2 linked regions of the Coturnix japonica genome follow. The protein of the gene in region 1 interacts with the protein of each later gene in a biochemical or structural test. Links are inferred from orthologs where the notes say so. Each region holds a gene or a part of one and is shown in the gene's direction. Other genes may lie near its edges.

The links.
Region 2: the proteins of SRC (region 1) and ASAP1 form a complex in vitro, tested with the Homo sapiens proteins (2 studies listed by BioGRID and IntAct). The link is inferred for Coturnix japonica from reciprocal best matches to the Homo sapiens genes SRC and ASAP1.

What each region holds. Positions count from the first base shown.
Region 1 is NC_029535.1:4,438,088-4,443,781, forward strand, and holds the start of SRC (proto-oncogene tyrosine-protein kinase Src), read left to right. Parts: upstream 1-1,900; 5' UTR 1,901-2,164; intron 2,165-5,694. UniProt on the Homo sapiens protein: Non-receptor protein tyrosine kinase which is activated following engagement of many different classes of cellular receptors including immune response receptors, integrins and other adhesion receptors, receptor protein tyrosine kinases, G protein-coupled receptors as well as cytokine receptors.
Region 2 is NC_029517.1:126,741,392-126,746,492, reverse strand, and holds part of ASAP1 (arf-GAP with SH3 domain, ANK repeat and PH domain-containing protein 1), read left to right. Parts: intron 1-2,770; coding exon 2,771-2,893; intron 2,894-4,850; coding exon 4,851-4,925; 3' UTR 4,926-5,101. UniProt on the Homo sapiens protein: Possesses phosphatidylinositol 4,5-bisphosphate-dependent GTPase-activating protein activity for ARF1 (ADP ribosylation factor 1) and ARF5 and a lesser activity towards ARF6.

The sequences.
Region 1 (5,694 bases):
CACGGAGCGGTTGGATGGGGCTCATAAACAGGTCTGAATGGTTTGTCCAGAGAAGTCATGGGTGCCCATTGCATGGACATGGCCAAGGCTGGGCTGGCTGAGCCCTGGGCAGCCTGATCCAGTGGGGGCAGCCAGCCCAGGGCAGGAGTTGGAGCTCAACGATCTTTATTTCCCTTCCAAACCAACCACTTTAAGTTTCATGGGGCACTGGGGGCTCCCCAGCACTACACAGCTGTGGGGCTGAGCCTCAGGGCTCTGTGGGGAGAAACGCAGCAGCACCGGTGTCACCAGGCATTGCAACACACCGTCTGTGTGCAGCATGCCTGAAGGGGGAAGCCATGGGCAGCTGTTCTGATTTTTCCTGATGAAATTGCTTGAAGGTCAACAAAAAAGAGCACAAAAGTAGCTGTGCATTTGTAACGAGAAATCGAGATGTGCCCACATGGGTGAGCCAGGAGAAGTACTCAGTGAGAGTGACTTGGAATTGGAAAGCACCTGCCTTTCACTTCTAGTTTCAGCCTCTGCATCCCTCTCTGCCCTGCCCCCCCACCGTGTGTTTTTGGTGCTACTGAAAGGTGAAGAGAAAGAAGAAAGAGGTTTCAGGGAAGGGAGTGGAATGCCTCACAAAGAGCATGGGTGGGATGGTGAGAAGAGCAGGGCTGGGAGTGGGGCAGGAGGAGAGGGCAGCTGGAGGGCTGCAGGTGAACGCGCCTCGGGCACAGAGCTGAGCCGTGAGCCGGGAGGGCCCCTGCCAGGGTGCTGCGAGGGCACGTTGCTGAGCCAGAGCCCCAAAGAGGAGAGGCTGGATGCCAGGAGTGTCTGGTGGCCATTTTCAATGTGGGTCTGGGCTCAGCCCGTGCAGCAGCACCTCGGGGCTGGGGCCGAGCCCGGTGCCCGGGGCTGTGCTGCCTGCAGGAGGCTGCGGGGCTGTGGGGCTGGGGCAGCCGCTGTGGGTGCAGCATCCATCCATGCCCTGCTATGCCCTGTAGAATTAACAACACCGAAAGGACTTTCCACGGACACCAGGCTGCAGTCTGGGGCCGCAGCCTCCAATTCATGCAGGGAGCGATGATCAGGCTGCTCCTGGCAGGAAGGCCCCCCCGTGCGATGCGCTGGCCGGTGGGGACGGCTCGGTGTGTGCATGACTCCCGGTGACTCATGGGTTTGTTGGCCCTCGGCAGTGTCACGGGAAATATTTTTTTAATAACTCAAATGAGCCGGGGGAGGGGTGCGCACTGCAAACAAACTCAGTCACCCTCCGCACTGATTCTGAAGCGCTGGAGTTTCCAGAAGCCCCCGCTCTGGTCGCTGTGAGGGGCAGCACGAGGGGTGGGCACGACGTCCACGCTCGTGGCTCCACGGGGAGGCTCACGGCACGCTCTTCTTTCCCTGTTTATTCCCCTGCGCTGAAGTTTTGCCTCCTCCCCGAGATCAGGGGGATGGGGACGAGGATGCAGGAGGGCGCAGAATCCATCACAAAGCGGCTGTTCGCTGCGTGCCCCGGTCGCTATAATAAAAGCGAACCGCAAAGCAGCCGGGTTGTAACCTCAGTGCAAATCACCGCTCTCCTCTCGCCGATCCCGGGCGGGCAGCTCGGAGCCGAGCTCAGAACCGCGCCGCGCTCCCACGCGTGGCCCCGCCGCGACCGGGCGGCTCCGGGACGGGGTGCGTCGGTAGAGCCGCGGGCGGGGGCGGCTCCGGTCGCTGCTCCGCACCCCGCCGAGCCCGGCAGCCCGGAGGCTTCTTCCTTAAAAGAAAAAAAAAAAAAACCCGAGGGGAGGGGCTCGGCGATTTTTCTTTTCTTTTTTTTTTTTTTTTTCCTATAAGCCGTTTCCGGTTTACTGCTGCCATATTCCTAGTTTTTTTTCCCTCCCTGTGGGCTGTTCCCCCCTTACACACACACACACACACACACACACACACACACCCCGTACAAGGGGTGATCGGGGGCGGGGAAGCGGCGCTCCGGATCCGCGGTGCTGCGCGATGCTGCCGGCGGCGCAGCCCTGAGCGTCCGGCACGGCCCGGCCCGCGGTGCGGGCACCCAGAGCGGCGGCGGCGGCTGCGGGGGGCGGCGGCCGCGCCCCCGGCACGGAGACAAAGCCGCGGCCGAGCCCTGGAGGGGAGCGGCGGGGTCCGGCCTCGCGGGGCGCACACGCGGGAGGTGAGCGGGGGCTGCGCGGGGTCCGGCGGCGGGGATGGTCCCCGCGGGGTCCGGCTGCGGGGCCGGCGGGAGATGCTCGCCGTGCGGTGGAGGATGCCCGGGTGGCAGCGGGGCGGCTCCGTAATGCCCGCGGTAACGGCGGGGCGGCTCCGGGTTGCGTGGGGCGGCCGTGGGTCCGGCGGAGAGTGCGCGGGGTCCCGGGGCCGGCTGCGGGGCTGCCGGGGGATGGGGACGGGCCCGCCGGGGGAGCGGAGGGGGGAGCTGCGGGGTCCGGCCCCGCCTGCCCGCACTCCCCTTTGTTGTGATCGGGGGCTGCGGGAAACACTGGGAGAGCAGAGCAGGGAGAGCCGGGCTGTGTGCAGGCCGGGGCATGAAATATTCATCGCCCCCCTGCTTTGATGTCTCCTGCTCCGTTTCCCTCTCGATATTCGCTCGTCGGTGATTCGGGGCTCGTGTCCGCGCTCCGCCGGGCGTTCGCTCTGCCCTCGCCCGGGGAGGCTGCAGAGCCCCGCGCTGCCCGGGGAAGGGCTGTACCCGGCCGGCAGGTTCTCCCGGAGCAGCCCGGCTGCTGTGCGTGTCTCCGCCGCGAGGAAGCACCGTGGGACTTGTCTGAACCACGCCGGGGCCTGGGTGGACTTTCCCCTGCTGACCGTGACCCCATGCAGTGCGCTCGGTCCCCGGCTCAGCCCCACGGCAGTTTGGTTTCCTCTTGACCGTCCCTTCTCTCTGCTGCCCGGGAGCTCTGAGGGTACAGGGAGCAGCTCCCGTGGGTGATGTTCCCCCACTCAGTGGTGTTTGGAGCCCGTAGGGTGCTCAGTGCCTGAGTGCTGGGAATGGGACAGCACTGATCCAACAGCATCGGATGTAAACGGAGCTGTGGGAATGTGGCAACAAAAGACTCAGTTTGGTGTTTTTCCTCCTTCCGTGCTGGTGCTCACCCCTGTCCCCAGGGATGTGATGGGGCATGTGGTGGGATGCCGGTGACCTTGTGCTTGGGAGCAGTGTGATGCTGTTGTTCCCCTGCACTCTTCTGCAGGATGATCCCCTGCTGCTGCTGCTTGTTTGTGCTGCTTCGTGCTGGCTCAATGGTTGGCCCATGGACAAACCTCTGCTGCTCAGTGTCTGAGATGAGGCTCCCTGGGGAGCACTGTGCCACTGTGAGCCTGTCTGTGATCCCACTGCACCTCTCCTTAGCAGGCTGTGGGCTGCACCCATTCCCAAGCTTTGACCTTATCTTCTTAGCTTTGGATCTTATCTGAGCACCTCGTGCTCAGGAGCTTCCCCAAAATACAGCCCGGTGATTTTGGAGCTGGGGTTGCTTATGGGCCATCACAGCAGAGGGATGTGCAGTGCTCGCTGTTAAGATTGTCAGTGGCCTTGCAGTGCTCCCTGTGTGATGGAGATGCCCTACAGATACCTCTGCTTTTGAATGACATTGTCCTGGAGTGACTCAAGATCACCCAGGTGGGTCTGTCTGTCCCAGCACAGCGAGGGAAGGGGCCGTAATTTGCAGAGTCTGATGTGTGAAGGCTCTGCTGCATACACAAGGAACAAACTGGTGGCACAGAGGGGACATGGGCTCCGGGCTGGCTCACAATGACATGTTTTAATGACCAGTGAGCACGTGCCACGTCTGGATGGAGAAGGGGTTGCAGCAAGCCCTGGGCTGGAGCACTCAGTCCACGTGCCTAAGGGGAAGCACAGCCGTGCATCACTGCTGCCCCGCACCACCCCAGGCATGGCAGGGGAAGCACCAAGGGCTATCTGCAGCACTATTGCTTCCTGTACCATCCGTCCTGCAGCACGGTTTCTAACTTGGCCCTTTATCTCTGGGAACCATTTCCCAGCTGACCTCACTTCCTCAGAGCTTCTGAGCTCAAAGCCCTCTCGGAAGTGTGGATGCAGGGTGAGCAGTGTGGGTCAGCTCCCTGGAGTGTGATGCTGTGTGATAGTCTGCTCTGCAGTCTGCTTGGCCAGGGGAAAAAGGAGCTGGTTGGTGTGGGCCATATGCTCAGTGCAGCCCTGCTCTGGTGCTGTGACCTTGGTGTGAGGGAAGTGGCACTGCTTTGCACATGCCTCTGCACATGCACAGGCTGAAAAGAAAGCCTTGAAACAGATTTCATGTGGTTTGAACGTGGGCCAGGAACCAGGACCTGTAAATCTGCGTCTTGCTCTGACTTCCCTCCAGGCTACGGATCTCCTCACTGCCCTCCTGGGCACAGAGCTGGGAATGCTTGGGATGCACTGGGAGCTGCCGGGGGGGGCAAAGCAGTGCTGGAGATGTGGAGGGGATGAAAGCAATAGTGGGGATACAGGGAGGAGAAGCTCTGGGGAAGCTGGGGTCTGGCTGGTGGCTTTGCTTCAGACCTTATGGGGGGCTGCTCCCAGCCCCAGGATGGCTGTGCTGTGCAGAGGTGTGGAGGAGCTGGAATACCCACAGTGTAACGTGAGGGGTCCTGTCTTGAGGTCTGCGTTGGTGAAGGGTTTGGAGAGGAAAATGGGGAACTGCAGCACCCGGAGATAACACAGTCTCACCCCTCAGCCTTTCTCCATTCCAAAGCCCAGTGTCATTGGGCACAGTGGGCTCACAGCACTGGGCTGTGCCCGCTGCCACACGCCATCCTTGCACACAGGGTCCCCACTCCCACACTGTGCCTGGTCCTGGCTGCAGTTTCCCAGTCCCAAATGGCACCGTGGTGCTGCAGCACCTCGTGGGTCTGGATGTTCCCAGGGCGGAACCGTGAGCTGGAGAACTTCTGCAATATGGAAAAAAAGCACAGTGGCAGCAGCTCTTGGAGTCCCTCCCTGTTCAGCTGGGCTCTTTCCTTCCCCTGGCAGCAGCCACTGCAAGATAAGGGAGCACTGCAGCCCTGGGGAGCTGCACTGCCACCCCGGCGTGGGGTTGTGTCCTCATGGGTGGGAATGCTGAGCTGCTGTCTGTGGGATGGGGTGAGTGCAGGCTGTGCTGTGCTGGGGGTGGATGGGATGGGGATGGCCCGAATCCCACTGGTGGTGGCCAGCACATGGGGCAGGGTGGAGGGCTGCATTGGAAGCTCACAGGGTGGACAGGCTCAGAGCACTGGGACCAGGTGTGGGGCCATCGCTGGGAGCTGGAGGGTCAGTGTATCTGCAGCTCATCCTGTGTCAGTGACTCCTATTACCCAGGTGGGTTCTGGGCACCTGAGTGAGCAGCGCAGGGCTGGGCTGTGTGCACAGCCTGCTTCTCACCTCCAGGAACGGCGGGGCTGAAAGCCACCAGCTCAGCGTTTTCCTTTGTTTTGCATCTGCTGGGGCTGTTCGTAGCGAGCAGAGCAGTGTGAGCTGCACCTCGGCAGGCTCCGAGCATCCAGCACAGCCTGCATCAGTCAGGGCACAGCCGGGGCATCCAGCGCGGCTCTATGGGCACGGGGACACGGCGGGGCTCTGTGTGATCTCAGCTCGCCCCTCCAGACCCCTCATTTCGCTGAGCTTCTGCTGTATCCCGAGCTTTGTTTTGGTGACAAATAGCGCTGAAGGCCGCAGCGGCTGCG
Region 2 (5,101 bases), on another chromosome or scaffold:
CTTTCTTGTGCCTGTCTGAGAAAGAACACTTTCTGCAGAGCCATTTTTCTGCTTCTGTGATTGACTCCTTTGCATGTTCATATTGGAACCCAGAATGAGAGTTGTTGTTGAATTTCCTGATTGTTGTAGAGATTAGGTGAAAGAAAGCTCGAAGATCAAAAGGTGTCTTCAACTACGATTTTTTTATGTACTCATTATGTAATATAAGGAAGCAGATGACACTGGGCTTTCTCATCTATTGCTCCCTTCTAATAGACTGAAAGAGAGCAAACAGTGGATTTGATTTTTTGGATATTGTGTTTAAACTCTTCCCCTGTTTTGTGCAGAAAAATCACAAGCAAAAAGTCAGTGTTCTCCAAACTGAGCCATTTTCATATATGCAGTAAATTAAATAATTTCACTGTTTGGAAGTGATCAAAATGATGATGTATCCATGATAATTACTGCAAATTTCTATGTATCACTGTGTGCATGCTGGTTTGCTGCAGTTTTCTCAAGCAGCAATGTGCAGGTGTTCATCTTCAACGTGTTGTGTTTGTGCTTTCAGTCTGTTTCTGTGTCCTCTCAGCACAAACCGTGTGATGAAATGCTGCGTCACAGTGCATGAAGTGCTGTGACAGCAGCCAGCACTGCTTATGGGAATGCAGGCTTGATTTTGATAGCCACTAAAATAAAAAGGCAAAAATTGACATAAATTCCTGCACTGGAATTTGTAGAATATATATATGTTATATATACATACATACACACACACACTAGTGGTACATAAGGATGTTTTTGAAGAAATGAATCCTATTCTGAGAGCTTGTGAAATATCACTGAACACCTGATTGGTTCATTTGTGTGTATGTGTTCTATAAAGGAGGTAAGATACTTCTTTTTAAACAGTGATTGAGCATAGACATGGAGAAATTGTTTAATGACCGCAGCTGATGATTGTTTGGTCGCACTATCGAATAGGTACTAATATTTGGATGCAGAATTGTGAGGGTTTTTTTTTTTTTGTTATTGCTTCTGTGAGTTTGTTTATAGTACCAAATGAGGTGTCCTGTATTTGCTTTCATTTTACTTTTAATGCACCAGCATCCCAGCTTCTATTCTGGTCAACCTTGTACTTCCTTCAGCCCCATCTGTCTGTGAATGTTCTCAGGGTTAATACCAGCCCAGGCTTGAGTTCTCCTTTCTCATAGGCAGTTGTTTCCCTTTGTCGCTGGAGCATTGATTGGAAGTTCTTTTCCTTTGTAAAGCTTCTCTGGAATTGAAAGCAGGGACTGGTTCCAAACATCCATATTAATATTGCATTCCAGTCCCTTGTGATAGTTGAGATTTTTTGTTCACATTATCTGAATTTGTTTTAAAAAAAAAAAAAAAAAGCATTCTTTGAAGTAACTTCTTGCTGCAGTAAATCCTTGCTGGGGAAAAAAAAAAAGAGAGAAAGAAGTCCTTTGATCTCATACAAATTTCACCTAAGGTATTTCTGTTTGTCTCAATAGCACATTTTCCTGATCTTATGCTGTGTTAACTGCATGGCCCCTTATGTATAGAATTGTTATTTTTCTATAACTTGACTTTAATGGGAGTTCTCCTTGCTGTGTGCCTGCTCTGCTGCTGAGCTGGAGGTGCTTTGCTGCCAGAACGTGGAGGTGTTTCAGATGGGAAGGTAACAGCAAAGAGAAGACTCCGTAGGAAATTTCCTCTGTTGAGTTTCTTTTGGCACAAATCCCTCTAAACCTGCTGACTGTTCCTTCATACCCTCCTGCTTCTCATCTCCTTCTGCTCCTCTTGTTTGTGTTCTTGTTATCTGTCTACCTCTGTTCAAAGAGGAACTGTAGGTTTTGAAGAAGCACCCATTATAAAAATACAGGAATATGAAGCAGCAGTGCATTTCTGTGAGTATAAAGTAGCAGCATATTTCTGTTAGCGCTGCTTACTTACTCTGTTTGGAAATAATTTAAAGCGGTTTTCCTGCCATGAGAAACATATGTTCGGGGAGGAGTCCATGGCTCAGGCTTTCTTACATGAGCTAGTAGTGTGCAGCAAAATATGACCTAGAAAACACTTGGATGCAGAATAGCGGAGTTGTGAGAATGTTGTGATGGCAATTCATAATAAATAATGTTGTGCCACCTGAAGTTAAAAATTAGTAAGAAATTGCTAACACTCAGGACTGAAAGCCATTCAGAAAGTAATTTCCTGATACAGTCCTAAAAACACATCTGAAATCAAAGAATTCTGTATTTTCCTGCTAGATCCCCAAATTGCAAGGAACGCTGCGATTTAAATGCAGCATTTTCCTCAGCCTTTACCTCTCTTTTGATGCTGAAATGAGATTGGATTTCAGTTTGTTCCCATGGCGGTGCTGTTTGGGGTATTTCTGTTGAGGTTCAGTGTTTGTTCGGCTTTTCTTTCTTTTTTGTTTAATCATGTATGATGGGAGAACGAAGGCGGGTGGTGCTGGATTGGAGTAATGTAAAGGCATTGTTTAGGCTTTGATGAAGGAGGTGTAAGAAACTTAAGCAGTGTGCTGAGTGTTAAAATTTCTTGTGAATTCTGAAACTTTAAAAAAAAGAGAAATAGACTCATACAGATCTTTTCTTCCTTTCCTTCTTGTTTTTTAATACTTGGATTTTTTTAATTTTATGCCTTGATTGAAGAGAAGGAAATTGGGTGGTCTTCGCGGTTTTGTAAAATAGAATGAGGGGGCAGAATTCATGTGATGTGTTTCCTGTCTCCCTCGTGTCTTCCATCTAAAACTTTGCTGTATTTTCAGGGAAAGAACAAGGTTAGGCGAGTGAAGACAATTTATGACTGCCAGGCAGATAATGATGATGAGCTCACCTTTGTTGAAGGAGAAGTAATTATTGTAACTGGGGAAGAGGACCAAGAGTGGTGGGTATGTATCCTTTCCTTTTAGAGTTCCACGTCACTTCTTTATGGCTCTTAAAGGAAAACCTTTTTGTTGTTTTGGGTTTTTTTTTACCAATTTTTTTTGTTGTTGTTGTTGTTTTTGTTCTTATTTATTCAGGGGAGGGGAAGAGTTTGTTTGAACCAATATCCAGCATTTAAATTAATACTAGAGGAGACACCCTTAGTAGGGTCTTCCTCTCCTGAGGAGTCTGCTAGCCCCATCCTGGCTGGGCTTGGCTTCACTGCTGGATCACAGTAACACATCTGTATTTATGTTCAGGCAGTAATGCACGCTGGCTTTCCATCAAATAAAGAGATGGTGTCATATCATCACTCCGTTTAGCATGCTTATATACTTTCTATGAAAAATGAGTTGTGTAATTATCTTCAGTCCTGCAGAAACATTAAGTTTTAACTGTAGAGGCTGCTGGGAGTCTGAAAAACTTTGTAATTAGCGCCATAAGCTGCTGATTTTCTTCCCTAAGTAAGAGGTAGTTAATCAACATTTTCGTCCCTCCTGTGGCGTAGTTTTGTTTCATAACCAGCCCTTCTCTAGACTGCATATTGTCTTTGGTTCTTTTAGTGCTAACCTCAGGCTTTCTCAGCCCTGCTTGGAGGCTCCAGCTCTCTCCTGACAGTCTGCCTGCTGCCTCCTACCTCATACTTCCTACCTAAGAGCTATTACTTTGGAAAAATAGACAGATTGAATTCAGATTGCAGTAAGAATTTGTTTTAATCCACTGCTGCCTACCATTTCCTAACCTAAGTGCAATGCAGCCCTTACTACTGTGGTCCCAGCTACACGGTTTCCTTCCATTCATCAGCGGGACATTTAAGTGCGGAAAAGCTTTGGCTGAAAAGATGGTATCAGAAGGGCAGTGTGAAGCGAAAAGCTGCTGTATTAGCAACATCATCCAATCCTTGATTATACTGTCACTAGTTGCCGAATCTGTTTGTGAAGTACCCAGGGATTTAAAAAAGCCACGTGCCTGACAGATTCCAGTCTGAGCGCTCCAGTTTGAGCGTTTCTGTGAAGGGAAATGAGGGCCATTGACTCATTTGCTTAAAAAATTTGGCTCTGCAAGAGGAAATGGCCAGCCCTGCACGCTTCCCCTTCCCGTTTTGTTAGCTCATGGCAGAGGAAGGAGGTACGTTGTTCTGAAAGTGGTGAGCAGCACTGTGGCAGGACATGAGTGGACAATCAAGACTACTAGTCTAGTGCTGTTTCTTGGACAGTTGTCGATGATAAGGCTTTTTAAACATGAGAAGTTCATATAGAAAGTGTGATTTTTGTTAGAGATCGCTTGGATATTTCCTTATAAATGATTATTATGTGAAACGCTTAGGAAATGGTATGTGGAGGATTCTTAATCAAACAGCGCTGTTATTTGCTACAAGCACTGGTATACGCATAAATCATTAGAAGTCACAGGAACTGATTGAGGAGGATAGCTGGGCCTGCATCACTTCAAGTGAAATCTCTATAGGATTTCTCCCATCCAGCCATGCAGTTTATCAAAAGGAACTTCACAACCGTAAGCGGACACGTGAGATGTTTAGGATTTACACAGTTAACTAAGATGAATGGTTTTGAGAGAGGTGTGACCTGTTACTGCAAGTCAGTCCATGGATGAAAGAAAGTCAGGCTTCTGTTGTTGGAAGATTCATGTAGTGCACTGGTGTGCATTGCCTCTGTAGGTCTCTAAATTCAACTGCAGCTGCTTTGTTCTCCTTAGATGCAGTTCCTTTGTCTCATAAATAAATTTGTATTTTGTTCCCTTACACAAACTCAGATGTTAACCCAGGATGCTGGGTTAAACTGTCAAAAAACTTGCAGAGTTCCCAAAGCACCTGTGTAGTTCTGCAGGTTTTGATTAGAGTTAATGCTATCTGTGAATGTTCTGTGCATGTACTGACACCTATTTATTTCTCCTGTGTTGCAGATCGGACACATTGAAGGACATCCAGAGAGGAAAGGGGTCTTTCCAGTGTCCTTTGTACACATTCTGTCAGACTAGTAAAAACAAAAAATCCCCAAACTTGAGCATTGCACATTCTTCATGCAAGACGGGCTTTTTAGCAAAAGCGAACGCTGCTGCCTCCCTGTAATCCTGTGCACAATTGTATATATAGCTGCTGTTACAAATTAAGAATTCATTTAAATTTCACCTCATGAGGTTGAGTTATATGTATT